Nothobranchius furzeri: one gene and its partners. The main gene of each other region encodes a partner of the protein of the gene in region 6 in a complex. Links are inferred from orthologs where the notes say so. Each region holds a gene or a part of one and is shown on either strand. Other genes may lie near its edges.

What was found.
Region 1: ahi1 (region 6) and tmem231 share a complex: the UniProt entries of both Homo sapiens proteins name them as parts of the tectonic-like complex. The link is inferred for Nothobranchius furzeri from reciprocal best matches to the Homo sapiens genes AHI1 and TMEM231.
Region 2: ahi1 (region 6) and tectonic-1 share a complex: the UniProt entries of both Homo sapiens proteins name them as parts of the tectonic-like complex. The link is inferred for Nothobranchius furzeri from reciprocal best matches to the Homo sapiens genes AHI1 and TCTN1.
Region 3: ahi1 (region 6) and b9d2 share a complex: the UniProt entries of both Homo sapiens proteins name them as parts of the tectonic-like complex. The link is inferred for Nothobranchius furzeri from reciprocal best matches to the Homo sapiens genes AHI1 and B9D2.
Region 4: ahi1 (region 6) and transmembrane protein 237B share a complex: the UniProt entries of both Homo sapiens proteins name them as parts of the tectonic-like complex. The link is inferred for Nothobranchius furzeri from reciprocal best matches to the Homo sapiens genes AHI1 and TMEM237.
Region 5: ahi1 (region 6) and mks1 share a complex: the UniProt entries of both Homo sapiens proteins name them as parts of the tectonic-like complex. The link is inferred for Nothobranchius furzeri from reciprocal best matches to the Homo sapiens genes AHI1 and MKS1.
Region 7: ahi1 (region 6) and b9d1 share a complex: the UniProt entries of both Homo sapiens proteins name them as parts of the tectonic-like complex. The link is inferred for Nothobranchius furzeri from reciprocal best matches to the Homo sapiens genes AHI1 and B9D1.

What each region holds. Positions count from the first base shown.
Region 1 is NC_091744.1:86,200,605-86,205,357, forward strand, and holds the start of tmem231 (transmembrane protein 231), read left to right. Parts: upstream 1-1,523; 5' UTR 1,524-1,756; coding exon 1,757-1,895; intron 1,896-3,669; coding exon 3,670-3,836; intron 3,837-4,218; coding exon 4,219-4,347; intron 4,348-4,753. Other genes in the region: gabarapl2 (gamma-aminobutyric acid receptor-associated protein-like 2), read right to left, coding at 39-94, 966-999. UniProt on the Homo sapiens protein: Transmembrane component of the tectonic-like complex, a complex localized at the transition zone of primary cilia and acting as a barrier that prevents diffusion of transmembrane proteins between the cilia and plasma membranes.
Region 2 is NC_091741.1:109,995,076-109,999,779, forward strand, and holds the start of tectonic-1, read left to right. Parts: upstream 1-1,504; 5' UTR 1,505-1,684; coding exon 1,685-1,934; intron 1,935-2,013; coding exon 2,014-2,134; intron 2,135-2,397; coding exon 2,398-2,531; intron 2,532-2,973; coding exon 2,974-3,122; intron 3,123-4,704. UniProt on the Homo sapiens protein: Component of the tectonic-like complex, a complex localized at the transition zone of primary cilia and acting as a barrier that prevents diffusion of transmembrane proteins between the cilia and plasma membranes.
Region 3 is NC_091743.1:62,503,059-62,506,565, forward strand, and holds b9d2 (B9 domain-containing protein 2), read right to left. Parts: upstream 1,731-3,507; 5' UTR 1,293-1,730; coding exon 765-1,292; 3' UTR 609-764; downstream 1-608. Other genes in the region: poc1a (POC1 centriolar protein homolog A), read left to right, coding at 410-424, 2,072-2,156, 2,287-2,458, 2,659-2,838, 3,026-3,133. UniProt on the Homo sapiens protein: Component of the tectonic-like complex, a complex localized at the transition zone of primary cilia and acting as a barrier that prevents diffusion of transmembrane proteins between the cilia and plasma membranes.
Region 4 is NC_091742.1:64,222,157-64,226,799, forward strand, and holds the start of transmembrane protein 237B, read right to left. Parts: upstream 2,895-4,643; 5' UTR 2,711-2,894; coding exon 2,687-2,710; intron 2,501-2,686; coding exon 2,471-2,500; intron 1-2,470. UniProt on the Homo sapiens protein: Component of the transition zone in primary cilia. Required for ciliogenesis.
Region 5 is NC_091750.1:66,889,471-66,893,714, reverse strand, and holds the end of mks1 (tectonic-like complex member MKS1), read right to left. Parts: intron 4,140-4,244; coding exon 4,083-4,139; intron 3,626-4,082; coding exon 3,583-3,625; intron 3,494-3,582; coding exon 3,431-3,493; intron 3,354-3,430; coding exon 3,283-3,353; intron 3,208-3,282; coding exon 3,138-3,207; intron 3,059-3,137; coding exon 2,951-3,058; intron 2,433-2,950; coding exon 2,299-2,432; intron 2,085-2,298; coding exon 2,002-2,084; intron 1,759-2,001; coding exon 1,661-1,758; intron 1,089-1,660; coding exon 985-1,088; 3' UTR 652-984; downstream 1-651. UniProt on the Homo sapiens protein: Component of the tectonic-like complex, a complex localized at the transition zone of primary cilia and acting as a barrier that prevents diffusion of transmembrane proteins between the cilia and plasma membranes.
Region 6 is NC_091758.1:20,128,304-20,132,416, reverse strand, and holds part of ahi1 (jouberin), read right to left. Parts: intron 4,030-4,113; coding exon 3,889-4,029; intron 3,815-3,888; coding exon 3,621-3,814; intron 3,549-3,620; coding exon 3,503-3,548; intron 3,428-3,502; coding exon 3,324-3,427; intron 3,188-3,323; coding exon 3,070-3,187; intron 2,458-3,069; coding exon 2,405-2,457; intron 2,274-2,404; coding exon 2,214-2,273; intron 2,137-2,213; coding exon 1,974-2,136; intron 1,769-1,973; coding exon 1,695-1,768; intron 1,488-1,694; coding exon 1,399-1,487; intron 581-1,398; coding exon of another isoform or gene 523-580; exon of another isoform or gene 388-522; intron 78-387; coding exon 1-77. UniProt on the Homo sapiens protein: Involved in vesicle trafficking and required for ciliogenesis, formation of primary non-motile cilium, and recruitment of RAB8A to the basal body of primary cilium.
Region 7 is NC_091752.1:49,447,518-49,452,185, forward strand, and holds the start of b9d1 (B9 domain-containing protein 1), read left to right. Parts: upstream 1-1,776; 5' UTR 1,777-1,965; coding exon 1,966-2,028; intron 2,029-2,152; coding exon 2,153-2,221; intron 2,222-3,226; coding exon 3,227-3,335; intron 3,336-3,411; coding exon 3,412-3,508; intron 3,509-3,598; coding exon 3,599-3,661; intron 3,662-4,338; coding exon 4,339-4,406; intron 4,407-4,478; coding exon 4,479-4,597; 3' UTR 4,598-4,668. UniProt on the Homo sapiens protein: Component of the tectonic-like complex, a complex localized at the transition zone of primary cilia and acting as a barrier that prevents diffusion of transmembrane proteins between the cilia and plasma membranes.

The DNA of each region.
Region 1 (4,753 bases), on a different chromosome or scaffold from region 6:
TTACTGTCATGCCAGTGCACCCCACCCCCTGGACTCACCGGTACTCTGTCAGGGTATTTGTTGCGTATTTTGGCTGACTCCACACATCGGTGCTCTGAGGGAGGGACAGAAAACAAACAGGAAGTAGAGATTAAAAGGATGAGTGAGGCCTCTTGGGATTCTTCCTCTGCCATCTTAAAGCCAAGCCTTGTTCAACACAGAGAGCTCCCTGTGCACAGCAGACACTTTTCACACAAGATGCAGCACGCATAAAATGGATTATCAACTCTAACAACAATTTGTGATCAAATTAAGGCACTAGCTGCCTTTCACAGTGATTGTAATCATGATTGATGCCATTGTGTGCATTGATTTTAGGCAGGACATGCAGCAATGCAGAAAATGAGGCCCGGGGAGGGGAGGAGAGGTGATAGTTGATAAGGTGCAGGCTTTCATTAACCCAGATAAGAGGCCTACTTTGGATGTGTTTCTTTAAAAAGGTTATCCGGTGAGAGTTTCCACACAAAAGCTGAGTTACATAACAGAAATGGCTCCAATGAGATGTGAGTTCAGTTACTGTTAATGCGTTTGAAACAATCCTGACTTACATGTTCAAATTGTATTTTCATTAGGTCTCTTAGCCAATTAAAAAAATATAAGAATTTATTCTTGCTGGATTTGTTCTGACATTAGGTGTTTAGGTCAAACATTATCAAAAGGTGTAAACACACAGTGTAAAGACAGGAATCAGAGCAGATTCAGCTGATTTTGCTTTTAGGGCAACGATAAAGCGACCAAAAAGGGAAAATGGTTTCATGCAGCGAAATCGAATTACAGCAGTCGTGCAAATGGCAAAAAATAAAAGCATGCATTACTGCGTCTATGAGCGGTGGCATTGCTAAACGATGCGGGGACAGTAAAACAGAATAAGGTGGGATGACACGACAAGAGCATCTCTTGTTTCATAACAATCCAAACCCTTTTACCGAGGGAATGGTCCTCTTTAAACATCCATTTCATCTTTGCTGGATCCCCGCACTGAGGCGTGACGCGTAGAAGCTTCTAAATCTGCGGGTAATGTCGGCGAATTGTCCAAATATCCAGACAAACGCAATCAAAACAACGTCAAATTAGCCTTTCAGCTGTGCGTCTAGCGGAGAGGTGACGTCAACGTCTGACAGAGTGCTGCCTTCACGGGCTCTCCGGGAGAGTCGGTCTATCCGTGACTGAGTCCTCACACACATAAAACATAATGGTAAAGGCGCTTGTTTGTATTTCTGTTATTTTCTAAAGAACAGAATAACACATACAGTCAGAATGAGTAACATCATAAGAAAAATACCTAATAAATGATTTCCATAATCTCTAAAAAATGCCCCCAAGACAGTCTGTGTAAATAGTTTCTCTACACTATGTTCATCAAAATTAAAAAGAGTAGCAGACGCCTCATAAAATAGCAACATTTCCACATCTGGAAAAAAGGTTCCCGTACTCTCAAACGTTGCGTGAACGCAGTCTGGTCGTTGGCTGCCATGGTAACCGCCAGACGCCTAGCTAACATGGCGTGGGATCCCGCACCGATAATCACAGAGGCTAACAAAAATAGCATGTTAAACGCCAAATTTCGTGATGAATATGTCTTTATGGGGCTGCTTGACTCCACATTCAACTAGATGGACATTGCTTTATATGAGTTAAATATGTTTGTGAGCTTTTTCTCTTATTAGACCCGAGTTAGCATCCGCGTTAGCGGTTAGCGTTTAGCTAGCGGGTACTCATGGCTTTTTATGAAGTCTACTCTCACCCGGCCGTGGTTCGGTACAAAACCAGTGTTTGTACAACAGCTACCTTATTTCTGGTTGTTGTTTTATGCCTTACGTACATCCCACCGCTGCTGGTTGCATACAGGAGTCAAGGTACAGTAACGGTCACCAGAAAGCTTTTATTAACTGTTCATCGTGTCTCCTCAAATGTCCTACGATGTGTAAATCCTCAGTTACAGAGACAAGAAGTAATAACAAATGCTTAGGTTCACCAAAACCTCGGGTTTATGGAGGGAACAAGTCTTGTAAAGTTTATTGAAGGAAGGTTTACTGAATGTTTTTTATTATCTTATTATAATTTTGCCCTTTTTGTATTTGTTACCATCACAAAGATATTTAATCTGACCATCAAGTGACTGCAGAAAAACCAATCCCAGATTAAATTCACATAATGATAGAATAAAATAACAGGGATATTTACAGACCAACTTTTCATGCTTTTATACTGTGATGTGACTGAAAAAAAATACAAATAAAATATGCATTTATTGTGATTGATGAGTGAAAGTTTCGTAATTAACTTGGAGAATATTGCAGAAACCTGCAATAAAAAGCCTCAGTTTTGTGTTTGAAATTATTTCTTTTAAATAATGATAAACGAACCTCACGTGTACAGCACCTTTCAGAGTCGGAGGACTCCAAAGCTCTTTACACTACAGTGTTTCATTCATCCATTCACACACATTCACACGCTGATGAGCTACATTGTATCCACAGCTGCACTTGGCCTTCCGATTACTGGACAACCCGCTGTGCCTCTTGAGCTGCTGGTCCAATATTAGAGAGGCATCCATTCTGGTTTTTGAGATTGATACAGGTTTTCAGTTCTTGTACAGATCTGACCAGCAGGTGCTGAATATCTTATACTTTAGACAACCCCAACTTTTGCTAAATCATATGGAGAAACTCTGAAAAGCAGTTATGTTCAGCAACAAAGGCTGCAGAACTTTAGTTGATCATCTTTGAGCCAGAAACCTGCTTGTGCAGCTAAGTCTCATTCTCATTTTACACATACCTCTCAGTAGGTAATTTGCAGTTTTTTTTTTACCCTGAAGGTATTTAATTCTCCAAGTAGCTTTCTACAGATTCCCACTCTTAACCCTGTTGCAAAACAAAACTAATAAATCTGGAAAACTCATCTAATATTTACCAATCAGCATCCATTTTGGCTCATGTGATATTTAGACACTGCCAATAAACTAGTTCACTTATTGAAAACATACACAAATTTCTCTTAAAATTAAGAATTTTTTGCATTAAGATTTGAAAATGTGCTCCATAACTTGTGATTTTAGCACGACCAATAAAGCAACATGGCAACGTCAAGTTCTTGTCAATGTCTGGAAATCTCACTTGTGTTAATCCACCAGATTTTACAGGAAACGTTCCTGTTCACAAACTTAATATGGAAACAAAAACACATGGTTTACTCCGCAGATCACCTTAGCTTGTGAGATTTATAATCTCGACAACAACTCGAGAGCTTCTTTACAAAACCTTCAGTTGCTGAGATGATAAAGTTTTATAGCAGCAATAAAAATAAAAGAGTAACTTACCTGATAACAGTGCTTTCACACATTGTTTTACAGCATCTAGTCTAAATGACAGCTTTGTTTCTTTTTTTAACACACCACTGACTGTTTCCAATTGTCATTTACCTAAAAAAAACAACGTTTAAAATATTTGACCATGTTGAAAATGATTATTTTGGATGTCAAAGACATTTTCATGGAAGAGCTGTTATTGCCCGTGTGAATTAGCTTAGTGGACGTTCACGAGAAGATGAGGTGGAGAAAGGAGTTGAGTGGAACTGTATCTGACGCTCTGAGCAGATAGAGTTCACTGCTTTAGTTTCTTCTCATTTCAGGTTTCTGGATAAAACGAAGCATTTACGAAGAACAGCCGGTTGTGAGGTTCCAGTACGAGACTTTGCTGTTAGCAGCAACCAGTGCTCAAGGACATTATGTTGCCTGGAGCACTTTCCCTTTCCTTAACAACATGCTTGGGACCAACCTACGTATCCCCACTATCTCTGTAAGAAAACTCAACGTTCCTCTCCCTTAAGTTATTTCTGAATCACTGGTAAAATCTCTGCAGCTTTGATTTCATATTTTACACCTAAAAGGCTGAGACTGACTGCCAACCAGAGCAGGATGAATACTGTTGAAGTAAAAAACATGCTGGTGCTCAGCCAGCCAGCAGTGAGTCAGAACACAGAAAATTCACATAAAAGACTTAATAGGTGCTTAATATTTGTGAAAGTGAAAACATAAAGAAACCAGAAAAAGCTAAAACACATTTTTACTCTAAAGGAGGATCATTCATTTCCACGAGTCTCTTGTGCCTCTGCAAGATTGTCTTTTGTAATTATGTATTTTTGTTTTGTAAATGAAAATTGTGTTTTGTTTTCATAAAGGTGAGAGAGGAGGACCTGAACCAGGATGGGAAACTGGACCGTTTGAACCTGCAACTGCAGCTTCCGCTGAAACCTGATGAACAAGTTTACAGCATTCAGCTGCTGCTCACCTTCAGCTACCAGCTCTTTGTATGTATCCCACTCCAGTAGCCGTCTCACAAAGAGCTCTTTCCATGCAGAGGAAGAGGATTTTTATTTGTGTCCAACGTGCTTTGAAGAAATATTTCAGCCACTTCGTCTTTGCATTAAAGGGACATTATGGAAGTGTGACAGCCAAAACATGTATAGAAATAATAAATGTCTTCTTCATACATTCTCCTGCAATGCCCTGGTCCTGTAGAATGAGCCCTGGCATTTTTACTGTGATTGCCTGTTTTTATGTAAAATCACAGAAAAAGAGAGATGCTCGGGTCGAGCAGGCTGCTTCATGCGCGTTCACGCTCAGGCATCGCCCGTAGCGTTTGCTATCCGTAGCTTTAGCAGCAGAGAGAGAGGCAGTGCCACTTTGTCGCTGTTCCTAACGCCTAGTGACAAA
Region 2 (4,704 bases), on a different chromosome or scaffold from region 6:
CTGGTTTTTAGTTACCTGCATGGTATGTTCGCATCAGTTCTCTCCACCTGCTGCTTCTCTTCTCCAGTAAAGTAAGATGCAAGTAAAAAGCCTCCATTTTTGTGATTAAACACAAATACTCATCGTACACTTGAGTAAACTACTTTTTGCTGAGGGTGGGTGACTGAGGAGAACTTTGCTGAGCTACGGAACAACTGGTTCATTAGGATGAGCCCATTAAAGTTTAGTTTGTCGGTTAAGGGCTCCTTTCATCACCAGCTGCTGATGCTTGTAAGCTTCTTAGTGAACCAAAAACCTTTGGTGTTTCATTCACATCCAGCCCAAAACCCCTAAAAAGCGCTGTCGGCCAGTTCTCTCACCCCTGCATGTTCTCTCCCGCTCAGCCAATGGCAGAGGATCAGCTGGTGGTTAAAGACACCTGACAGGAAGCCACAGGTTTACACCTGACACCTGTAGGGGCTGAGTCTCACTAGATCTGGGCTTGATCCACTCTCTGTCAGAGGGCCTCCGGAGTTTGATGGAGGAGACGTCCAGCTGGAAACCCTCCTGGTGAGAGCAGGGAAAGAGCCAAACCCAGCAGCGGACAGTGGAGGAATAATAATAATAATAATAATAATAATAATAATAATAATAATAATATACATTAATTGATCCTCTTGGGTAAATTATTTCCCCACATTTGACCCCTCCCTCAGGGGCTGCATTGTGTATGGCTCCTGGGGGGCGACTTAAGGGTTCAGCATCTTGTCAAGAACGTTTCTGACGTGACCTTTAACCTGCTGGGATTGAACTGAATGGTCGGCTGCCCCCCCCCCCCCCACACACACACACACACATAGCCCTGGCCACGTACAAGTCAGAGGAGAAGACGAGATCTATTGTAATTCACCTTTAGTGGAACAAGTCAAACGCTGAAGGAGGCCAAAACCTGCAGTCTGTGTCTCCATCTAGTGGAGAAAACTATGAACAGAATGTAGAATGAAATACCCTGAATCCTTCCGATGGGTTAAAAAATAGAAAAGTACGTCATTATTACAAGTTATAGAACACGTTATTTCGAAAAACAGTTCTCGTTAAAACGTGATATAAATCACGTTTTAACGAGAAAGTTTCTAATTTTAACAAGAAAGGATCTCGTAATAACGAGAAACTTTCTCGTTTGAACGTGTTTTATATCGCGTAATAACGAGAACATTTCTCGTTATTACGCGATCCTGGTCCTGAGTTTTTTTTCCCTGCACTGACGGTAATACGCTTCCGTAGAAAAGTATGAATAAGTAATAATAAAATATCAAGTGAGGCAGAAATCCATTTTTAAATTATATTCACACATTCGCATACGTGGTGAAGGCTGTTATTACTTAAAATTTTTATTGACACAGGAACATATTTTTATTTTATTATTTCCGTATTTGTGTGAGGGAATTAAAAGAAGGTATAAAAACAGCTGATTTCCTGGTAACACGTGAAGCACGTGGAGCTGCTTTGTGTAGGAAGCAAAAGTGTCTGTTTTTAGTCTGTGAACGAATCCTTTCTGTGCGGTTCAGTTCGCTGGTGCTTTTCAACAGCAGTTCCACATATGAATGCTAGGCGGCGGTAAAACAGCTGTAATTAGAATCAATACCAACGAAGAAGAAAAAGAGTAGGAAGAAGTAGAAGAAGAACCATAGCAACGCTAAACAACATGGCGGTCTCGGCCGCTGTTTTCTCCATATTAAAGTCTCTCTGGTTGTTTCTCTCGATTACTTCTGTCGCTTCGAACCAAAGTACAACTAACGGCGCGTTTAACACGACTGAGCCGAACTTTAGTCACACCGTTACGGATAATTACACAGAGTTCGAGTCCACACCGAGCCCCGGCGGAACGGAGAATTCCCCCGTAGCCGCCGAGCCGCTGCCTGTCTCGGGCCATCTGCTGTCTGCCAAGACCAGCGGTAACCGTCCACGCTTCCTCTGCTACTGTGACAGGGTCCCCACGCTGCGGTTTAATGTGTGTGTGTGTCCGTCCATCAGCTGACAGCCTGTGTCCCTGTGATGAGGTCCTGGGTGTGTGTGACACCAACTGCTGCTGTGACCCAGAGTGTGGAGGGGAGGTGGTTCTGTTCACCAGCTGTTCGCTCGGTTCTGTGAGGAGGTTAGTGGACTGGCTGGGTTCCACCTAGAACGGCTCCTCTGCTCTGCTTGGTTCATGTTGCTGGAAGGTCCCTGCTGCTCTGGTTGGGAACAGGTGTGGCGCTCAGCTACATCACACAGTGGTGGTGATTAAGGAGCCACATGGAGCAGAAGAACCTAAATAGGCTCTGAGACCTGATAATTACATCTCTTCCTATTGAATGTTGCTGTGTGTTCTTATTAAGCTACACAAAAGCTGCCTGACTTGTCTCTGCAACTCTGCAGTGGCAGCCAGCAGCTGTGTAACCAGGAGGCAGCATACTACACTCTAAGGACCAACGTGAATGGCTACTCAGAGCTGCAGTCAGCGGTCCAGAAGGAGGACAACGCCAACATCTTCTGCATCCGATCACAGAATCGTAAGACACCAGAATTCCTTAGGAAGAACCAGTTAAGCTGTTTGAATTTAGTCAGTTTGACCGCGTCCACCTAGGCCCACTTGATCCCATTAAGGGTGATGGGGACTTGGCTCCCATCTTCAGCTGTTATTAAGTGAGAGGTGGTGACGCACCTGGACAGGTGACCAGTCCCCTAATTAAATTGTTATTTAATAACTTTAATTTTAGCACTGCGCAGTGTGTGTCGGGTCTCTAGATGACTGATAGAAAACATCAACTGAGAAAAGCTCTCACACTCAGCTATGTGTAAATAAAGAATCAATCAGGACGTATAAACTAAGTTAAAACCTAAACAGTAAACCATGATTAAAACCAGATTAAAGTTCTCTAGTTTGTTTTACTTCCAGGTTTATTTTTCTAAAAGGGGTTTGTCTCACCTGCTGTGTGATATTCCTCTCCGTAGGTATTGATGGATTGTCCCATCCCTCTCCAGCTCTTCCAACTGATACCAACTTTGACCTGCTCTTTAAACTGTTTGCTCCTTTTCTGTGGAGGATGGAAAACTCAGATCAGGCAGCCCCGGCAGGAGTCCAGGACTCACGTGGATACCAAGTGAGTCTTGGGCCCAATCCCAATACTCGCCCTCGTGCCCTTCAATTGCACGATCCCGACCACGGCTGCGAGTGCGTAGGGTGTCTCGATTCTCAAATGCATAAGCTGATCATGCCCCTTTTGCACCCATGATCCACACTTCACTCAAGTCTGCAGCGATGCAGACTTGAGTGAAGTATATTACCCACAATCCATTGCTGCAGGAGAAAGGGCTCAAGTTCCATATCCGAAAATATGTATTTTCTAATGAAAGTAGTTAATTTTAGAACAATTAGTTGATGCTCTGAAACTTTAAGACAAAGCAGCGAAGAATGCCAATTTATTTCAAATAATTGTTTGGTTGTTTGTTTGAAAGTTTTTAATAAATGTTTTTAAACAAAGTATCACAGCAACCAGCATCCCGGCATACGCAATGCTCCCTGTCTCAATTCTGTAATTATTTGCACACTTGTGTACTACGCACTCGAAGCCTTCCAGCGCACTTTCTCCAAATGCACTTGGCTGAAGACCACAGGGAGAGTATTGAGATTGGGCCTTAGTTGGACGGAACAAGTATTAATGGGTCCAGTGTCGTAAAAATTAGTTATGAAAAACAATCCTGCATATGCAATTCAATGTATACGTTTAAAAACTGCTTATGATAGTGCTAAATATGATCATTAAAGCAAAAACAAGAAAGAGAAACTAAAAATGTCAAATCAGAATCAAAGATGTCCTTTTCCATGCTGTTTGGTTTGAGAGTGATTTGGTGGTAGTTGAAGTCAGAGGTCAAACTTTTAGGTGCCATGGACCACAGGCATACGTAGACCCCCCGTGGGCTGGTGCTGCCTATTGGAGCTACTGTAGTGGCTGGCCGCCATCTTGGATGGGTCTCCATTCGCCCCCAGTGCATTTATTTCTACTGAGGAAGGCGTTTAGCTAACTAAAGAACACATTTAATTATGTTTTTCACAAAATCAGACACATGATATTGCATGGCAGTTCTAATATAAATATAATTACATAAAATAAATTAAAATACAATCATGGCTTTTGCAGCCGTCATTCTGCGTTGACTCTAGTTGGATTTGGAGAGCAAAGAGACCCAACCAATATGGCGGCGAAGCTGTTACGCTCTCCAGCACATAATGAGGTGTCTACATATTCGTGTCTACGCCAGGGGCGAATGATCTAGTGTGTTAATGGTTCGTGATCGTAGTGATTGCTACAGTGTGACGACTGTTACATCGTGTTCATTGTTACAGTACGTTCACAGTTCTACTGGGATTACTGTCACGGGGTCCGCAATTTCTTCTACCCCTAAGAAGCTACGGTGTTATTGTTATTTAACTGTTATCGGCTAGAAGCTAACATTAAGTTAACGATGCTAAAGTTAAAGTCCCACAGGGAGCCTAAGTCTCCTCCCTTTCCGGTCGGCTCGTGAGTCCCCAGAAGAACAAATTATGAATGCAAGTCAACGGGGCTAAATGAGTTATTTTCTAATCTGCTGTGCCTTACGCCCTCGATCACTCTTGTGTTGTACTTATATTTGAATCAAAAGTAACGATGGGTGTTTTGAACACGCCAGTCACGTACTTTGAGA
Region 3 (3,507 bases), on a different chromosome or scaffold from region 6:
CCGCTACTGACATCTTGTGGTCATATTTGGTTACTACACTCGTGTGCCCCTTGGTCATTTGGATTTGTTGTGCAAAAGAAAATAACTGCTTGTACAATCCGGAACTTCTTATTTTGTTATTCATCGTTTTTACATTTGATTGAAGTCTTTTTTCGACACAAACGTCCTTTAATGTCCAGCGTCCCCTTTAAGGACTCTGGCCAACAGCTCAGCGCCCAATCACGGCGCGTAAACTGAACTCTGTTGTTAGCAGCTAGCATTAGAAAAAACAATTCCAATTACCGGAGCGATATTTTCCTCCCTCTGTTCATTTCAAAACCCACAGTTGAGAACAATTGTATTTCGGTCATAATAGCCAAAGCAGCAACGAGCCTCTTTACTCGGGTGTACGTGCTAAATACCGGGAAAAATGACTTCTGCACTGGTGAGTTTGGCTAGCACTTGTTACTGTAGCAACTGAGGAAGTTCGTGTCTGATTTGTAGTAGACTACTTGTTTTGGTTAACGCACACACACACACACACATGTTCAAATATTCATAACGTTACAAATATGAAATATTAGGTATAGTTGGATTGATGGTAAACGGTAGATGAATAAGAAACCAACTTCAATGATAAGTGTTTATTTATAGCTGTATTTCAGGTGTAAAAACATCAGCATAGAAATGTACAAAACTTTGCCGTGTGTAATTTTTCAAAGGCATTTGCGACAAAACAAACTTTTTATAAGAAAACAATCAATACAACATTCTTATTTGACGTCTCAGCTCTCGACGCCATGTTTGTCAAAGTGTCTTATGATGACGCCCAGCTCCAGATTCACAGTGCCCATGGCCTCGGTGTGCAGTCTGTATCTGTCCGCTCCACTGTAAATCAGATCCGGGTTGCGGAGCTGGGGGCCTCCGCCGACAAATATTCGTGCTAGCTGCTCTTGCCAGGAGCCGAGCGGCCTCCATGTCACACAGCTTATGCGGTGATGTCCGGGGCTGGAGGGAACGTGGCAGTACCCGTATCCGTACAGCTGGTAGCGGCCGAATGAGTCCTGGTGCCACACTTGCAGATGAAGCTTCGGCCAGCCCTGGAGACCTTTGGTCGCATAGTGCAGATCAATTGGGTGGCTCCAGTAAGCCATTTCTCCGCTGTGGGGGGAATCCACCTGAGTCTGACCCTCCTTCAGCCCCGAGAGAAGACGCCATGCTCCCCCCGTATGAACTTCCCATTTGCAAAATAGGCTTTTTTGAGGAAACCCGCTGGCCCCGATGATCTGTCCTATAATGTGAAGCTCTGCCATTTCACAGCTGTCCGCTTTAACCAGAACATGCGACACACGGAGCCCGCTTTTATCAAAGGCTACAGAGCAACAAACGCAGCTCACGTCTCCTTGGTAACCCAGCCTGCCATAGTGTGCTCTTAATACAGCACTCCCTGAGCAGAGTCTGTCAGGCAGCACTTCCTGTCTAGGGCTGGTTCTATTTTTGAAGGCAAATGAGACACATTTTTATATCTTCTTGCTAAAAAAATATTACTTAACCTTTAATTTAGTAAACTAATTACGAATTTTAACCAATTTAATTAATGACGTGAAGCAGCTGTTACATAAATTACAATCATACCTGAAAGACTGAATAAAGGGTATACAAGAACCGCTGGTTTACTTTTTTCCGAATAACTATTTAACAGCGCAAGTTCAACAAGATGGCAAATGAAGTGCACTGTACTTTTTAATGTATTGTTTACATCTCAATGGTGCTTTATTTTTTAAGGTTATAAATTCTAAAAAGCTATTTATTTAGATATGCTTTCTCCTGCTTTTCCTGATGACTGTTCATCTTGCAACTTTTATATAACTCAATGGATAACTAAAGAAAGTAAAATTTATTTATATAGAACCTATTGTAGAAAAGAAAATCATGAAGTTCTTCAATGAAAATTACATAAAAAATAAAACATAAAATACAAAAAAGAAGAAAATATCATTTAATAACAAAAGTGGTCATAAAACAAATGAAAAAATAATTTCCAAACATAAACTTGTAAAATAATTGAAAATCTCTGTTGATTTCATCATAGTCTGATCCAACCCTAGAGAGAAATTTCAAGGGTCACAGGGACGTCGTGACAAGTGTGGACTTCAGCCGCAACATGAAACAAATTGGTAATATTATTATTATTTGATCTGAGCCTTTGTCCGTCTATATATTCACCTGTTATCCAGTTTGTTGTGTGCACATTGTAGTTAATACCAATCTCTTGCTTCAACCAGCTTGTGCTTCCTCCTTTCTCAGTCACAGGCTCTATGGATTCTTGTGTGATGATCTGGAACTTGAAGCCTCAGATGAGAGCTTATCGTTTCGATGGACACAGAGAAGCTGTAAACTCTGTCCAGTTTTCTCCATCTGGTCACCTTGTGGCCTCGGCCTCTAGAGACAAAACTGTACGTCTCTGGGTGCCCAGCATGTAAGTTTATACGTAGCAGCATTTTATGTTGTTTTCTTCTCATCAAGTTTCTCCAGAAATTATCACTCAAGACAAAGCTGTGGATTCCTAAAGGCAAAAGAACAAGATCTGCTGATTACTCTAATTTCATCATACCAGCGCCCTGAATAAACAGTGTGTTTGTCTGCTTTATGTATGAATAATACCTTTTGTGTTTGCAGGAAGGCTGATTCAACTGAATTCAGGGCTCACACTGCCACTGTGCGTTGTGTTAACTTCTCCGGTGATGGACAGAGCCTGGTCACAGCGTCTAATGACAAAACAATCAAAGTGTGGACGGTCCACAGGCAGAAGTTCCTCTTCTCTCTTAACCAGCACATCAACTGGGTCCGCTGTGCCAAGTATGAAACACACACACTCCCATTTAATACCACACCATGCAAGTTTCCCTGTGATATTTGTAATGATGAGTAAAGTGTTGTACAAGTGTTTAAAAAATTTAATATGTGATGTCAAGTTTTCACCTTTTTTTTTTACACTTTTCCTCTCAAATGTTTAATTTTAAAATTTTAATGTGCTTTTCTCCAGGTTTTCTCCAGATGATCGTTTAATTGTGTCCTGCAGTGATGATAGAACTATAAAGCTATGGGACAAGAACAGCAGAGAGTGCATTCATTCTTTCTTTGAACATGCTGGGTGAGCTCGAGATGTATAAAAAATGTATTGATGAGTGCACAAGAAAGAGTAGAAGTATGAAGATATGTCTAATATTTTTATCTGAAGTGTATTTAAAGGTAAATCTTACAGTATTGAATTTTAGCTCATTTAAAGTTTGACTATGGAACATGGACAATCTGGCAAACTCTGGTGTTCAAAGGTGGTATTGCAACAACAGGACACATTTTCCAGCTGCTGGGATGTTGGTTCACTGCTGACACGTTCCAGCACCAAGTTCAGAGACAAATCATACAGGATCAGAACTGATTTCTACTAATAAGTTTATTTTACAACAGTATTTACCGTTAGAACATCTTCTGGGCTCAGATTCAGCTGCTTGACTTGTCAAGTCT
Region 4 (4,643 bases), on a different chromosome or scaffold from region 6:
GTCGCTGTGTCTGCTTTAAAAGCTCGCATCTAACCAGCTTTTCAAAGATTTTCATTAAAATGGAAGTTAGAGCAACAAGGCGGAAATCATTTAAAATACCTGGATGTCTCACCTTAGGAATCGGTACAATTTCTGCATCCTTCCACGGTTCAGGGAACTTTTGTAACCGTAAAGATTCATTAAAAATGTGGTGCAGTATAGGTGTCAGCTGGTATGCACAGAATTTAAGTAAGTGGCCACAAATGTCATCTGGTCCTCGGCTCTTGTCCACTCTAACTGTCCTGATGGCCCTACCTATGTCCTCCATGTCAACTTTAAAATGGTCACTATCCTTAAATTTCTCCCTCAGGACACCCTGTTCCCCGCTGAAATCCAGAGCGTCATACCGACAATCAAAACTGTTCAGGGCATTAGCTAGTTCCCTGTCAGTGTTAAACGGGTCTAGACAGATGGTTGTGTACTGTGCCTCGGAGCCATGTCCTGCAATAATTCTCATGCTAGTCCATGCTGAACCAAGTTTATTTGCTGCCATTTTGTTCTCCAGCTGTCTTCTATATTCATGTTTAGCCTTTGTAATTTCTCTTTTTAACAGTATGTTAGCCCGCTGTAACTCAGCCACTGACCCCTGTTTAAAAGTGAAAATGAATAATTATGCTGCCTAAACTAAGTTTTGAGGAGTGTGCAAAGCACTAATCAAAGTGCTTTCCTCAAAATAAAAATATTCCCTTTGGATCCCCGCTGGTTACAACATTAGAGTAATGTATTGCAAACTAATGGAATTTAAAGGCAACACGTTAAATGAAAGACATGCATGTTTACCTTTCAGTATGAAGTGCTATTAAATCTAACTGGAAACTGTCAAACACGGCATGTCGGTCAGAAAAGGGCAAAAAAAAAAAAACATCTAGCTAGCAGTTATTTTCTCTAATGAAACTGAATTTTCAGAAGTGGTATCGCCAAATACAAACCAGATCCGTGGCAAGACATTTCAGTAAATCCATTTTTACAAACAGTCACATCCTCTCCTACAAAACCAGACAAGCACACGGCATGAGTGTATTTAAAGCACCGACTCTCGTTAGTGACAAGATCATATCAAACAGGCAAGATGACAAAAATCTTACCGTCGTCGTTCTGGTTATTTCAACTAAGAACTGAGTCAAAGTGAAGCAAAGCAACACGCGTCATCCCAACTCTGAAATCCTCGGCTAAATCTGGCAGGACTGAGGATTACTTGGGGTCAAAGGTCAGATGAAGCAGCAGTGAAGTGGTTTATTACAGAGAAGTTTAAAATGAAAGGATTCAGTGGAATCTGGTTTAATCTTTCTAATGATACTGGTACAACAGTAAACTACTCAAAGGCCTCACTTGCATATTTAAGTATATAAATAATAAACAAAGAGCTCCAAAGTTTCATAAAGCTATATGGTGGTTGTTGGTAAATCCTTGGTCAGTAGTGGGCTTGTCATGGTACTCAGACCTGAGGGGATTCAGATGTCGTTCTGGATTCCTTTTTTCCTGAATCCCTTACGAACGGGGCATGGTTTGTTGCTTTTTGAGGTCTTTTAACCTTCCTTCTTCATGCTATCAGACAAATTCTATTGAAGTGATTTCTTAATGCTACAATTCTTCAACAGGGGAAGTGAAGTTATCTTTATAGATAAGGGGTTAATTTAACAAAAGGGGAAAAGTGTTTAAAGATAGGGCAAAGTTGTTTTGGATAGCTTTCTACTCCTTCGTTTTATGTTAACCCAGGTTATATTTGACTGATATTTACATTTTTTGCTTATCTGAAACATTTTTAAATGACCTGACTTTCTAGTTCTAACTTCCATCGTGTACATTTATTAATGCTCAGCAGTCACAATGAAGCAGGTGCTTCTTTAGACAAAGCAATATGTTAGTAATAAAAATAAACACTTCTATAACAATATAAAGATTTAGACGTTTTTGAATATTTCTTCACCGTTATGAAGATATTTTACAAAATATTTAAAATCTTCCAATAGCATATTTTCTTTTAAAACTCCTCAAATAAGGACCATTACTTTTACGTTGTAACGTTTTACGATAAAATTTGCAGTACTTCCGCTTTCTAGCTGAGGTGCTGCTTTCAAAGTAAAAGCTGACTTCCGGTTCGTGCTTTCACGATTTAAAAAGCTTTAAAAACATTTTTGAAACTCCTTACAGTAGCAAAATAACATAGTTAAAATATGTCCCAACGTTACATTAGACGTTTAGTATTTGTGTGGGTGTTACTGGAGTTATGCTTCTCTTACACAACATCTATCATCTAACCGTCTGTTGCCATGGAAACGTGGTGAGTGTGTGAATGGCGCAGCCGGGGAAGAGCACGCTAGTATGATCGGCGGTCCCTCCGTTTGTTATGACACTGCGGCTGCAGTAAGTAATTCATATAATATGAGAACAAACAATGATGAGGCTGCGTACGTGGGTGTGAGTCACTGACCTGTGTTAGCGGAGGGAGCTCCCTGACCCTCTGAACATACAAAGAACTTACATTAGTTCGAGCATTATCGCGTACAACATTAATATTATCACATAAACACTTCAAACGAACAACTTAACACAATAATAAAGCATTTGACTGGATTGCATTGATATTATTTGACGTATTTAAATCACAAAACACTATGAAGGCTAGCTAAAGAGGGTAAAAACTTCCCACGTTTGCGTGTCCTGCGTCCATTCTTAATCTTTTCACCGAACAACACGACAGTAATAAGCAACCCGGTCACACCCTCATCAAAATAGAAGCAGATTCTACTCCAAAAATGTTTTTAAACTCGAGTAGCGCGCTAATTGTGTTTGGAGCAGCGTTCTTGGACACCGGATGTGCGCGCGAGAGCAATGTTTACGTCTTCAAAATAAAAGCGACGGATCGACGTAAATATCAAAATGTATTATTGTTATTAATATAGAATAGAAATCATTTTTTGTCAGTGGAAGAGGTTGAAACCGTAGACGGGGACTGTTGGATAACCTTTGACCCCACATGGATTCACCCTGTAAGGAGGCTAATCTTTTCTGGAAAGCTCAGTGTTTTTCATGTAGATTATACTTTTATGCGAAAATGTTTTTTTATGTCTGTAATTGTTTTATGTGTCTTTTCATCAAGTTCTAAGATATGTTCTGCTTTTGCTGCTGCCTCATGGCCTGATCCTTGTTGTAAGCAAGTCACAATTACAATAAATATGAACACAAATGTGCAGGAAAAACGATCTATTCATAAGAATTTAAGTTTTTAAATACAACTTTTTGAGATACGACAAACAAATATGTATTCTCTTTTAATAGTTTTAAACAAATTATGCTTTTTAAAAAAACATATCTTAAGAACTACAAAGATATTTTTGTCACTAATGACACTTGATAGAATTTAATCTCCTAATACAGTGAAATGCTTTTCTCAATAATGCTGCATTTTCAATAATGCTGCATATTATTGAGAAACAAGTGTGAAGTGGGAATCAGTTTCATGTTCACTTAGCTCTCTCTAGCGGTCACTCACCGCTATTGCATCCTGCTCACCGTTGTTGAATCAGGAAAGATGAACAACAAACTACGGTAGTTTAAAAAGCTAAGAAAAACATGCAGCGTTATACCAATACAAAAAACATGTCTGTCGCCATGAGCACATTTATTTAAAAGGGACACACTATGAAGATTTTAAAGCTATAATAGTTCTTTAAAACAATTTTATAGTATTCTTGGTTTTGTTAACATTGCTGTAAGCCAATCAGAGGCTAGATGTTGGCATATCATGAATATTAATGAGAAAGACTTGTAATCAACACCAGAGCATTTTTTGTACAGAAAACGACTAAAAAGGGATTCAGTCATAATAGAGACCAAAACACATTTCTTGAAAAAAAAAAGTGAACGAGACTTTTTAATTTGTAAATACTCTTGTAGGTAACAGCTAAATGGGAGATGGTATGCATAGTGCCTTCTAGAGTCTTTAAACCCCTCAAGGCACTTTACAATACATCAGTCTTTTACTCATCCACACACACATTCACATGCTGGTGGTGATGAGTCACAATGTAGCCACAGCTGCCCTGGGGCTAACTGACTGAGGTGGGTCTGCCGTACACACTAGTCACCAGTTCCACCTGAACACCACCAGCATGCAAGGAGGGTGAAAAAACAACTGCGTCAGACTGAGTGGTATCAAGTCTCTTGAAAACAACCAGGTCTCCAGTAACTAACCCATATGTACCCCAAGTTGTGTATTCCTAAGCTGTGTCAGACCCAAGTTAAAGCTTCTATAGTAAATATGGAAAACAAGTTGGCCTAAAACTTTTAGCCTCTTAACAACATTCTAACGTAGTAAAGCTAAACTGGAGATTTAAAAAAAGAAATAAATTCATTCAATGATTCTCTGGCATTTGTGTTAAAGCCACCGCCAACACCAGCAGCTATTTAACCAAACACTTCCCTGGGTACTCCGTTCATCACACACTCACGTATTTAGCAGCAGAACACCACTGGTGTGAGAGGTTCTCCACTAAAATCAGAGAAGGAGAAACAGCCGGCTGCTACCACTTCTACTTTAGGACAAACTACTAGAGTCCCAAAGAGAAAAACACCATTTGAAGTCACGACCAACAAAAGAAGTT
Region 5 (4,244 bases), on a different chromosome or scaffold from region 6:
TTGCCTCAAACTGTACACCTCTATTAAATATTTACGATAATCCCACAGGCACTAGTCGAGACAGTTCACTGTTTCAGGGCGTGACACTTTTAATCCAGAAACATCAACTTAATACATAATTCCCCTTAGCTAACATTGGTTAGCTTAACGGCTATGTACGAAAAAAAGCATCAACACTCATTCCGCAGTAAACAGCCCCAAACAGTGAATCTAAATAACCACCAGGGTTTTAGTTTCAGAAAACCGATTTCAGTTTTCGTTTGAGCATTAGGCTAAATCTGACACAAAAAAGAGAAAAGCGACCAGCGGCCCAGTTCCCATCGCTACATGCCTACTAGAGATACGCTAAAGCAGCCATACATTGACTAAGACACACAATTTACACATCAAAAAATTACACGATTGCAAAATTAACGTGAAATATGTGTACTTAAGTACCTGGTCGTGTGTGAAACTGAGAGGGAAAATCGCTGAACGGTCCTTTCCCTGGTTGGAGGAAGATGGAGAATGGTGCGTTTACAGTCATGGAAAATTGGACTACTTCCCTTTGGAGCTAAAACGAATGCTACGTTGGAGGACAACCCGCAGTCAGATAATGCGGGTTTCAGTCCATTTGTTTTGTTTTAAAAATGGGGAAAATATACCACTTCATTGCATATTTAATTTTTATTTAGTTAACCTTTATTTCAGATAAGAAAAATAAACAGTAAAATAAATAATAAAAGAAAACAGTACCTTGAATTTTGTAAAAAAAAACTGCTGGTATTATAGTACATTTATTAGACAAGTGTTATGCTCCATCTCCTAATGTTGGTGTAATAAATCGTTTCTGATGATTTTTTAAGTTAATAACATTTGTCAATAAAATGTCAGTTACAGTCTGAGAAGAACAGAAGATGACTTGAGACAAACTTTTCAGTTTTGGAAGCTTGTGCAGGATCCTAAATGCATCTTGAAATGTCAGTTTTAGTGTGTTTTTGGTTTTTATGCAGAAAATTCCAGCTCGAGTTGGGAAGTAGAGTTGATGGCTTTTTGTGGGAACGTTTCTCTGGCCTCTTGTAGCTTTTTGTATGCTCTTTGAAAGGCCTCTGAAGGGAAATAAAACAAACAAACAGAAAATACAAATTAAATTAACCCTGCAGAAAAATTCCCTGTTCTTTCTACATTTTTGTCTACTTTGGGCAATCAAGCTGCAATGCAAGGCTTGGTATACAGTCCATAACATTTTGTGAGTGTCCTAACAAATCCATCTTCCAGTGGTTTGAAATAACGAGAATCTAAATGATAAATGACCCATAATTGTATAGCGCCTCTCAGAGTAAGGACTCCAAAGCGCTGTACACTACAGTGTATCATTCATCCATTCACACACACATTTACACACTGATGGTGATGAGCTACGATGTAGCCACAGCTGCCCTGACGCTCGCTGACAGAGGCTAACTGGTGGCATTATGCTAATTTTCACTCCCGCTATCATAAAATCATTTCATGGTAAAAATAATAAATGGTGGAACATTCAGAGCCTGATTACAGTAAACTTTTTCACTTAACCACACACACAGAACTCACAGCTCACACAAACAAGGATACACTCAGCAGCAAACAGGAAGTGAAAGTCTTTTAAACCCTGATGCAAATACTGTGTGAGTATGTTTACCCAGAACATTGCAAACATCTCCCTGCTGACTAAATCCTCCCAGCTGGTCGATGACTTTCTGCCTCCTCTTTTTCTGAATGGCAGCGTCAACAAAGGCCCTGAAACAACCAGAAGCGAACAGTAAACACTTTTTAAAAGTAAAGATGAAACAATTTGCATTAATAATACAGATCTTTGTGAAATTTGTAAATGGAACACTTGCATTTGCATTAAGAAATAGTGTTTTGCATGCAGTGCAGAGAGTAAATCTCACTTCTGATGTTTTATTCATTCCATATAAACTGTTAAGCTGTCAGGGAGAAAATCAGAAACAGCTGCTTGTTGATTAAACTGGTCTTTACCTGGCTTGTTGGATGCAGTTCAGATTAAATGTGACACTTCCTGAGGTTAGACTGCAGAAGCCCAAGCGACTCAGCCTGTCTCCCTGAAACCAGACACCATTGTACCAGATTAAGAATCATAATAATGCATTAATTTACTTGCTTGCTCAGGTATACACAGTTAACTTGGTGATAACGAAATAATGCTACAACTACCACAATGTATATTTTTAAAACATCATGTTTCACCCATTAAACCTTCAGGAGAAAATTTATGCAAAGGTTCAAAACCTGGAATTAGCTTAGCTGTGAGTGCACCTTGAAGGTCCCTGGTATTCTGACATAGCTGTGATCTTCAATCTCTGCAGAACCTCCGATAAAAAAGCGCCTCAATGCAGAGACCGTCCCCATCTGAAGAGGTCGCCATGTGTGACAGGTCATGGTGTGCTTACCTGGGATGCACCAGAAACAGAATATATGATGGAGATGAATGATGGAGCATGCAGAGGAATTATTATTAACTTTTCTGAACCATGTGAAGTTAAAAATCTTGCATATTTGAAATTGTTGGTATGAATTCATTTGTAGTACAATCTTTGGTGAATTATCTGAATATCTTTAAATTTTGTTTTTGAATGTTCAGTAGATAAAACTCAGTCAGGGGTGTCGAATCCTGGTCTTGGAGGGCCATCGTCCTACATGTTTTAGAGGTTTCCCTGCTTCAGCACTACTGATTTCAATCAGCAGGGGATTAGAAGGCTGATCAAACCATTTAATCTGGTACTTTGGAGCAGGGAAACAACTAAAACGTGCTAGGTAGGGTTTCTTGAGGAACAAGGGTGGACATCCCTGGACTAAAATAAAATAACACTTTTAAAGACAATTAAAAATAACAGTAATGTGAATCTAAAATCATCTAAATAATAAAGAAGTAAATTAGTCAATGAGTCTTATAGATGCAGCAGCATACCAGGAATAGCTGGAAAAAGCAGATAACCATAGCCTTCAATACGATAGCGCCCCCACAGGTCAAGAGAAAGAACTTTGAAGTAAAGCACTGGCCACTGGGGAATTAGCTCTGAAATTAAAAAAAGTGAAAACACTTAAATTTAGACTTTTAAATCACATCATTTCAAAATGAAAAGGCTCACGCTGACCTTCACTCTCTTTCTCACTCTTGTAAAAAATCTCAAAGTTGAAGGGGTAACTGAAGAAAGCCACATTTTCCTGTTGGCAGAGATCAACGTGTGTCAGTGTTCATGTTCTGAAGCAAGTAACCAGTTTCTTACGTCAAACACACACCTTCCCCAGTGATTTGGTTCGACAAGTCTGGGTAACCCCTGACAGAAACTGGGGCATTGAGCTGGACCAATCTAAAACAAAAAAGTTTACTAAGATCTCACTAAAACTAAATATCACAAATGAGTATCACAGACGGCTTGTTACTCACTATTGGGAAGATCCAGGACGAAGTGGACGTGTAAGTTATCATACTCAAATCCTTTAGCCGAGACTAAAGAGAAAAAGAGGGAAAAGAGAGAGTGGTAGTTTGAAAGTTGATGGGTAATCTAAAAAGATAGCGATCACAGCCGTCCTCCTCACCGATCTCTCCATCCATCAGGTAACGTAGCGTACCAACAGCGGGCTGGACAACAAACATCTGGTTAGCGAAAAATGTTTGCAAAGAAACAAACGTTCCCACTGGTTCATCTAATGCACTTTAATCAGTTACCAGCTCAGAGGCCTAGTGGTAGAGGGTCCGCCCTTGGACATCGGGGTTCAAACCCGGTCGGGTCGTACCAAAGACTTAAAAAGTGGGACTTTAACCCTTCCCGCTTGACACTCAGCTTTAAGGGGTTGGGCTGGGGGGTTAACCCATAAAATAGCTCCTGAGCGCAGCCACAGCTGCAGCTCACTGCTCACCACGGGGATGGGTCAGACGCAGAGATACGTTTCACCAGTGTGTGATGATGACTAAGGGACTTTAACTTTATTTCCAGCTGTTTGTCCTTACAGGTTTGTAGATCTGGTAAATCCTGCTGCTTTAATATACAGTGTAATGTTGGGAGATTTAGGGATTTGTTGTCTAATAACTATCTTACCATTTCAAAGTCCTGTCCAACAAGACTACTGAGGTACTCCTTGTGCCTCGCATACAGCTGGAAACAAAAAAGTTGTTGTAATGCTCTCATTATGTCTGCTTGACTTCATTAATCTGCACATGAAAACAAAATTGTTCAATTTAATAAAAACAAACGTTGACG
Region 6 (4,113 bases):
TCCATCCTGAAGGATCTGCTGGCTGGGACGAAGCTACAGGCTCTCCGGGCTTCTTCATCTTCTTTTTCCTTCTAGTTCTGTAAAAAAAAAAAAAAAGATATATATATCTTCACAACCAGCATTCCATTTGTTTTGATGTGAGTTTCTGTGTAAAACTATAGAAATAATTACTTTCTTGCCCACTGTATATACAGCTTCCTGAACAGCCTCACTTTAGAAAAATAGAGATCAATTTCCACATGACTGATGAGATAACAGTCAGACCAAAGCTTAAAGGTGTGGAACACTGAAAAACATGTTTAAAATCTTATTTCTGATTATAAACGGTCACTCTGAGTTTTTCATGCAGGCTGAACATGACAATAGTCTCCTACACCTATCCTCCTGCATTAGCTTCTGATAGAAAATAAACAGTGAAACTCTAGGAATGTTACTTAACATTCATGGACTCACCCATCCTGATTCGTGACAGGGAAGGCTGTTGTTGGTTTAGCATCCAGGAAACAGCAGAGCATATCTCGGCTAGTTGAAGTTAACAGTTAGCATTAGCAGCTCCACCACACACCAGAACTCCTCCATGCTTGCATTATTTGTGGAGATAAAACATCCATGTTGCAAGTCAATGGTAGAGTCTCGTTGCTGGCATCAATCCGAGGTGAGAAATATCAGGAAATAAAAAGACTCCAAATCCTCTGAGCTCTGAAGCTCAGCTGTGATGTGGCTCACATCTAGTTCCTGAAAATGGTGCACCAGAGCTTTGTTTCCCCAGAGTACAACTTACAAGGCATTCATTCCTACTAGAGACCACAGCAAATGGACTGATTAGTGTTCCACACCTTTAAAACAGTTCCATTCTCCAAAATATGAGTTATCTTTAAATATCATTTTATAAACCTAAAAATTTGAACCATGTTCACATTATACTGTTGTTTTAGGACAACTAATAAGATATTTTTTGCCAGACTTGACCCCCAGATGAACCAGGAAATGCTACATTTGCTCCTATATATTTTTTTTTTTATCTGTACTGAAACTATTCAAACGAGGCTGTTTAGCTTTAGATTCACCGTCCAGGTTGTGTTCCCGGTTCTAGTAGTTAGATATGTGAAGTGGTGGAGGTTTTTAGTTATTTACAAGCTTGAATATCAGGAATTCACTTTGATCTTGACTGGATCAGACTAGTCGTTAGCCCATCAGTCCTGTTGGATGAATTTTTATGAACAAAAGTTGTTCAGCAATGATTAGGTTATTTGTTATTTTCCGCAGAAAAACACTTCAGAATGACCAACGCATTCATTTAATCATGTTTCTTAACCAGTTTTCCTAAAAGGAGCAAAAACATCAACCCTCACATGCTGCCGTAATCATGCATCATGAATATAAAAGGGAGCCTCTTACTTAACGTTGGTCAGCCCAGGTTCGGTGTCCGAAAAAGTTGGCTCAGAGAGAAACCTAAGCTCCCCAGAGGAACTAACCGCAGCAGATACCTTGAAATGTGAGCATGAAAACTTAAGAACCAGAGAGACAGGAAACACCAAACAGATACCCGACAGACAGAATCCCATCATGCATCTTAACAAGGCATAGGTTAACATGACGCTCCTCTGCAGGGTGCAGCTCCCATTTAGGCCTGCAGGGGAGAACTTCATGTAAAACAACCCAAAGAAGAAACTGATTTAAATCTGTTTTCCTACCCTGTTTGGGGTTGACCTCTCAACGGTCTTCTCAGGTGACATGTGCCTCTCAGCAGACTCTTCCATAAATTCACCTTCAACAACAACACAGAAGAAAAGAGTTCAAATGCATCTAAATATATATATATGTGTGTGTGTGTGTGTGTGTGTGTGTGTGTGTGTGTGTGTGTGTGTGTGTGTGTGTGTGTGTGTGTGTGTGTGTGTGTGTGTGTGTGTGTGTGTGTGTGTGTGTGTGTGTGTGTGTGTGTGTGTGTGTGTGTGTAATCTACATGTACTTACGCTGATCTACTACATAAGAAGCAAGGAAATATCCCTGCAGTCCATTGACCAGGCGCCCAAACCACCAGGTGTCGTTATCTTTGTAGAGCACTTGGATGACATCACCGCGCCGAATGGTCAGTTCATCAGAGCGATTAGCTGTGTAATCGTAGAGGGAAACGACCTGAGAGAGAAACACAAAGATGCAACAAGAATGCAAACACACATGCTTCTGAGATCAGTGTCACAGTGGAGACTCACTACTTGCTGAACTGGAACCAAATCCGTCTCCAGGTGATTCCCCGAATGGTCACGAAGGCTCTGTTCCAGACAAAACACCACTTAACCTTCTGATGAAGTCTTTAAATTGGAATTATATGCTAGACTCAGTGGAGGATGGATTATTAAAGGGGCTTGCAATGAAAAAAATAATAAAGTGTTCCAAACCTTACCGACTGTTGCCTAAAAGCTGAAGCTCCTCTGAGACTGACTGAACTAAACCCTCCTGGAATTACACAACAAAACAACAAAAAGCAAAGTTCCTCACAGATTTCTTCTGCTTTTGCTTCTTTGTCACACTTAAATGTTTCAGATAAGCTAAAAAATTTCAGCAAATATCTACATCAAAGAAAAACAAAGTCGCCCAAAGCAACCTGGTTCTGACCCCCAAACCTAACATCTGGTTTAACTCCTGAAGGCAACAACAGCCGTCAGGTGTTAGTGATGACCGGTGAGGCGTCTCACATCGCTGAGGAGGAGTTTTGCCCCGCTTTACTTTTAATTCAGCCACATTGGAGGGTTTAGAACGTGTTGCTTTTTGAAATTGCCTACTTCACTTGTTGATTTCTCACCTAAAGCTTTAGCAGTAATCAGGCTGGGTGAAACTTAGCGTTTCCACATAAAACCAGGTTGCTTGACCATTGTCCCCTTATTGCTGAAATCACTCTCTTGCTCTAAAAAACTCTAAGCTTCACAGCTTTGATCAAATCTTGAAGTTACATCATGCAGGAGTTTGAGCAGCGATAATCTCTGGAAACATTTGACCTCGTCTCCCAGCTCCAGAAACTCCCTTCATTGTTCCAGCACAAATAACTGATTATCTGGACGAGACACTCACGGGTTTGTGTACTCAGGGCTGCTTGCGGGATTAGCTGTTCTGCAAAAGAACCAGAGAGCTGCAGCTTGGAGTGCGGTGACAGCAGAGACGGAGGTGGCAGAGAGACATTTAATCCCATCTGAGGAAGAGCAAAAACTTTCATTTACACCTTCTAATGCAACGTCTACTGATAATACACAACAGAAGGCTTAAACGTTTTAACTCTGAAAGAAATGTGGAGACAAACAGCCTTCATTAACTTTAATATGACTCACAGTAACCTTGTGAGTCTGTGTGGTGTTTGGGGTCTGTAACCGTATAATCACCGTGCTAGTGTCTGGTGGAAAGCTCTTCCCCATATGACTGATGCCCATTTTGTCTGCAAATAAAGAGAACAAGACTAAATACTCTGCATGTAAACAAACAAACTCATCTGAGATGCTCTCATACAGACCGTGATCCGAAAGAAATCCAGAAGCTGAAGATCGGCGATGTGGTTCCTACAAATGGTGTCAAAATATGAGCCCCGTTTAAATAACTAAATGATATTTTGTGAGTTAAAGAAGATTTACCAGAACTGAATCCAGCCGCCGTTTAACAGACTGCATTTTCATGGCGAGTCGTGCTGCATGAGCAAACTGGTCCATGGCCGAAGGAGCAGAAGTGTCCTGCAGCAGCAGCAGAGAGTCGGGCGTGTTTCTGAGCGTTCGGTCTGCAGACGCCGATGTGCTCGCTGCTTTAATGTTCTGCATCTCCAGCTGGGAAACTAAATGATAAAACATGTTTAGCAAAGTGTACGAAAAGCAAAAAACAACAAAAATCATCAAAGACGACACAAACCTTTGCGATCGTACAGGTACACGAGCACAGGCTGGCTCTGACCGTACGCGCAGAACGCCACCATGTTCTCATGAGGGTGGAAAGAGACGCCATGGAGAGCGGTGTGGTAACAGAGCTCAGAGTATACCTCAACCTGGTCACCTGGGAAGAGCAGGAGAAGTCAACAAGATGCAAAATTCCCAACTGAATTTGATTTTTTTTTTGTTAATAAAAATTGATAAGCTG
Region 7 (4,668 bases), on a different chromosome or scaffold from region 6:
CAAGTCAGTGACTCGGTGCAATCTGCTAGGTTTCCTTACATTTAATTAATAGACATAATGACTTGAACTCAATCAGAATTAGTGATGCACCAATATGAAATGTTTGGGCCGATACCGATATCCGATATAAAGATCACTGTTATGGCCGATAACCGATATTTGCCGATACTGAAAAACTGACATTAATGCTTCTAAAATCAGCAGATTTTGTATAGAATGAAAATGATTAAAGCTGATTTTACGTTATTATGTACACACAACACACACATGTACGCTTCTGATATGATTACATCCACTGTGCACATGACTAAACAACCACACATCACCCCTCACCCTCTGAAACAGGCAAACAAATGGAGATGAGATGGAAAAAATATCGGTTGTTAATATCGGCTCGCTTTTATTTATCGAACCGATACTGATATGTTAAAAATGACTAACATTGGCCGATACTGATATTGATGCCGATATATTGTCCATCCCTAATCGCAATGTTTACTTTGTGAAGTGCCCAGAGACAACTCTTGGCGCTGTATTGGTAAACTGAACTAAATTGAGCCAAACAAGGATCACTGATTGGCCTGACCAAGAGTTGTTTAGGCCACAGAGTGTGGGTAGACCGACCTGCAGGGTAAAATATTTTTGAACCGCATTGGTTTGTCTAGTTTTCTAGGCTTATGCTCTCAGAACTTGCCTTCCCTGTCTTCCTGTCATAGATTCAACAAGGTGTTGGAACCCGTCCTCAGAGATTCTGGTCCATGTCATCCCACTTTTACATCCATGAGGGGAATCTCCCATTCCACCACATCCCAAAGATTCTGGACCAGACTGAGATTTGGTAACTGGAACCCATGGTCATGTTCCAGATCCAGTTAGAGATTATCTAATCTTTGTGACATGGTGCATGATCCTGCTGGAAGTAGCCATCAGAAGATGGGTCCAAGTGGTCAGAAAGGGTTAGGCTAGATTTCTAAATGCATCGAGTTCCTGCCATATGATCGCGAAGATCAAAAAAGAGCTGGAGGTGAAAAAGTGATACAGGTGCTGAGCTTGGCAGACAAAATGGGAGATAAAAGGAAGCAGGTGCAATAAGAGCTGCTGTTTATGGAGCTGCAAAGGTCAGAAGACTTGGGGTGGGCCCTGGAGACAGCAGGAAGCACTGTGTGGGAGAGAGCTGAGAGAAGAGCAAAAAAAAAAAGGTTGCTGGGTATGAAACAGCTGAAAGAAAGAGCTGTTTTTGTCACATCTGAAACAAAACACAGTATTTAGACACACGTGCCAGAGGGGTTTACATACTTTGGAATGCAGATTTTTTGGTTTCATTCATTTCTGATTTTCAAGCATGTGGCGCAGTAGGAAAAGCAGACATCCATGTTTATATACAGCACTGGAGGTGTCCAGTTAGCTGGAAATTTTAAGTTAGGCTTCTTGTTTTGGATGTTGTTTTGTTTCAGTTATTGTTGAACAGACATTGCAGTCCTTTGGGCCTACAAAACAATAAAACGATGGTTGAGAAATAACATTTTCAGGGCTGGTAATAAGGTTAAAAAACGATTTTCAAACATGTTTGGTCGTGAAGTGATTTCAGTCGTGAATGAGAACGAACCTGCATTTTTAAAAGTCAGTGTATTTGATTTTGCTACCCTCTAGTGGACGCCTAGACAATTAAACCAGAGTTTTTATATTGTTTCTCCGCCTTCTTTTCTCCTTTTAATAAACTTCGGGTGTTTATAAAAATAAGTATTTTGACTGAATTTCTTGAATTACTTTTTGCTCTATTTAAAATTAATTTTAACACGTGATGGCCCAATATCACCAATAAGAATTGCGTTTAATTTTATCCAAACCGGTAGCCATAGGGAGGAGTAAACGTTGCCTTAGCAACAACCTCGGATCGCTTCAGACTGACCAAATTAGCTCGACTTATTTAACAGACTTTTACTTTCTTGAACCTCTGGAGTCACGATGGCAACAAACAACCCGAGCGTGTTCCTCCTCACGGTGAACGGGCAGATTGAGGGAGCGAACGTAAGTCGTCTTTTTAGCTAGTTTTAGCTTAGCTGCTAGCGTTAGCATTAGCAACAATGGCTCGTTTGGTGCTTCATCCGGGATGTTCCGGGTTGTTTATGGTGATGTTTGTCTTTTATTTCAGTTTCCAGAGCATGACAATCTGTACTGCAAATATTGTTACGTGTACGGCCACGACTGGGCTCCAACCACAGTGAGTATTACAACCATTAGCATTTAGGATGAAACATGAAGTATGCTTGTTGGGTACCACTTTACAATACTAATACATTTATTATAGTGATGTTATTAATGTTTTCAACGTTTTAAAGCCATTAAGTGTTTATTATGCACGAATTAAGGGTGAGAATGAGACTAAACTGGCCGGATTCTTGCCGGTATACTTCTACTAGACTGTATGTATTACACAGATCAGACTGCTATATAAACAATTTATTAGCATATTATAAAAACATAACTATCACATGACGTCAAAAGTGTAAAAAACATGTAACTTTCTGAAATGTTTTAATATAGAAACTAGAGGAAATATATGGGTGATCAGATATGGCTCACTATTGGGCAAGATGTCTCTTTTCCACTCTTCGTTCATGTAAAATAAACGTCTTGGGTTCTGAGAGCACTTATTGTGCATTTTTAATTTTCATCTATCTGTTCTGGATTTGTAAGACCTCAGAAATATATTATTTAAAGCAAATACTAACTGATAATGGATTTTTTTTAGCTCTAAATTAAAAATAATTAATTACGTTTCCTTGAGTAATAATACAATTTTGTAAGATATAAACAAAATGATATCTCAAGGCTTTTTCCACATATGTGGATGCTGTGTTTACAGATGGGTTCATAACAATAAACCTTATTGTTAAAGATGTTCAATATGCTTTTTTTTACGGATAATACTACGTTTGAACACGAACCCACACAGATGCAGACAGTAACAAACGAAACCTCAGATCAGCCATATTTTGATGTGTTTGAGGAGTTTGATGTATAATGTGAGCATGTTATGCAAAGGTTGTGTCATTCAAACAGTAAAAAAGATAACTCAACGATGTTACATTTTAATGCCAATATCGGACGATGGTATTGCCCAATAACGTCAGACGTGACTTTCAAGGATACAGAACAGGGTTTATAGATAGTTAATGCAGCGGTGGCTGGATGGAGTTGTGTTGTAACGAATGTGACTCTCCAGGGACTGGAAGAAGGAATAACTCAAATAACCTGCAAAAACAGTCAGACACAGAGATTAGTCTGGAACTTTCCTCTGGAGACGACGTTTAAGAGCACAAATCCTTTTGGGTGTGAGTAGATCACAATTTCATCATCATCATCATCATCATGTGTGACTCTTTAGGATTAACGCCGTTTGTCCCCCAGGGCCTCAGCTGGTGGTGAGTGTGTACGGACCAGATGTGTTTGGTAACGATGTGGTCAGAGGCTATGGAGCAACGCACATCCCCTTCACACCTGGACAGTCAGTATTACTTTCATGTTTGACCTAAAAGCATACAGAATGTGTTACTTCGGTTTGAAGATACAGATCTGAATGTTTTTCACTTGTCAGACATAAAAGATCCATCCCCATGTTCGTTCCCGAGCCCACGTGGAGACTTCAGAAGTTCACAGGGTGAGATCGGTCTCCTTAGCTGTTGGAAACCCGTGATCTTTAGAGGAACAGTAAATATTTCATCTTCCTCTCATGTGGAACGCAAGCTTCCAACACAAACACACGTTTTAAAGGTTCATTTTTGACTAATCTTTGTCACGTTTGGATACTTTAGATTCACACTCGGGCTTGTTTGATGTTGCTCTCAGTCTTTTTAGTGTTTTTCTTTTCATTTTTACCATGAAAACTGAATATTAATGTGATTATTATTAGATCTGATGGAGTTTTTTGCCATTTTGAGGAGCGTTTTGTGTAAAACTTACTAATTATCTGGTCAGAGAAACAGACTGTGCATCCTAGAGGACTGATGAGCCACATCCAGGCCTCTAAATGTCATAGATCGCCATGTGAGGTCATTTCACTGCTGTCAGGTTCTCATCACATAGACATTTTAGCAGAAATATGAATAAATTCCTGCAGGACCTGACCCCTGATGCACCAGAAATGCTAGTTTATTGGGGATGTTTACATTTGTAAAGAATGTGATGAACCACAGTGAGCTTTAGCAGACCTGTGCCGTTTTAGGACAGCAGCAACTGGGACTAGCCATTAGCACGGCCTTCGTGAAGGATGCAAATTATTCAGGAAGCTGTGAACTGTTTCAGAGAAACACGCTAAAAGATCCTATTTCTGTTCAGCTGGCTGCTGGGGCGGCGGCCCGAGTACACAGACCCTAAGGTCGTGGCCCAGGGTGAAGGCAGAGAAGGTTAGTGGTGCTTTTTCTTCTTTTACCTTTCTAGAATAAAACTTTTAACATATATATATTTTTCCGTTTCAGTGACAAGAGTTTGTTCCCAAGGCTCTGTAACCGTCTCCTTTCACATCATGAGTAAAGACATGAAGAAGATGGGCTACGACGTGGGACCGTCACACGTCCACTCTGCCACGCCGGACTGAGCCACACCAACTCCTCCACGTGGATTTAGAGCAGTCAGCCACAACCTCTGAACTCTGAGCTGACTCGCCTT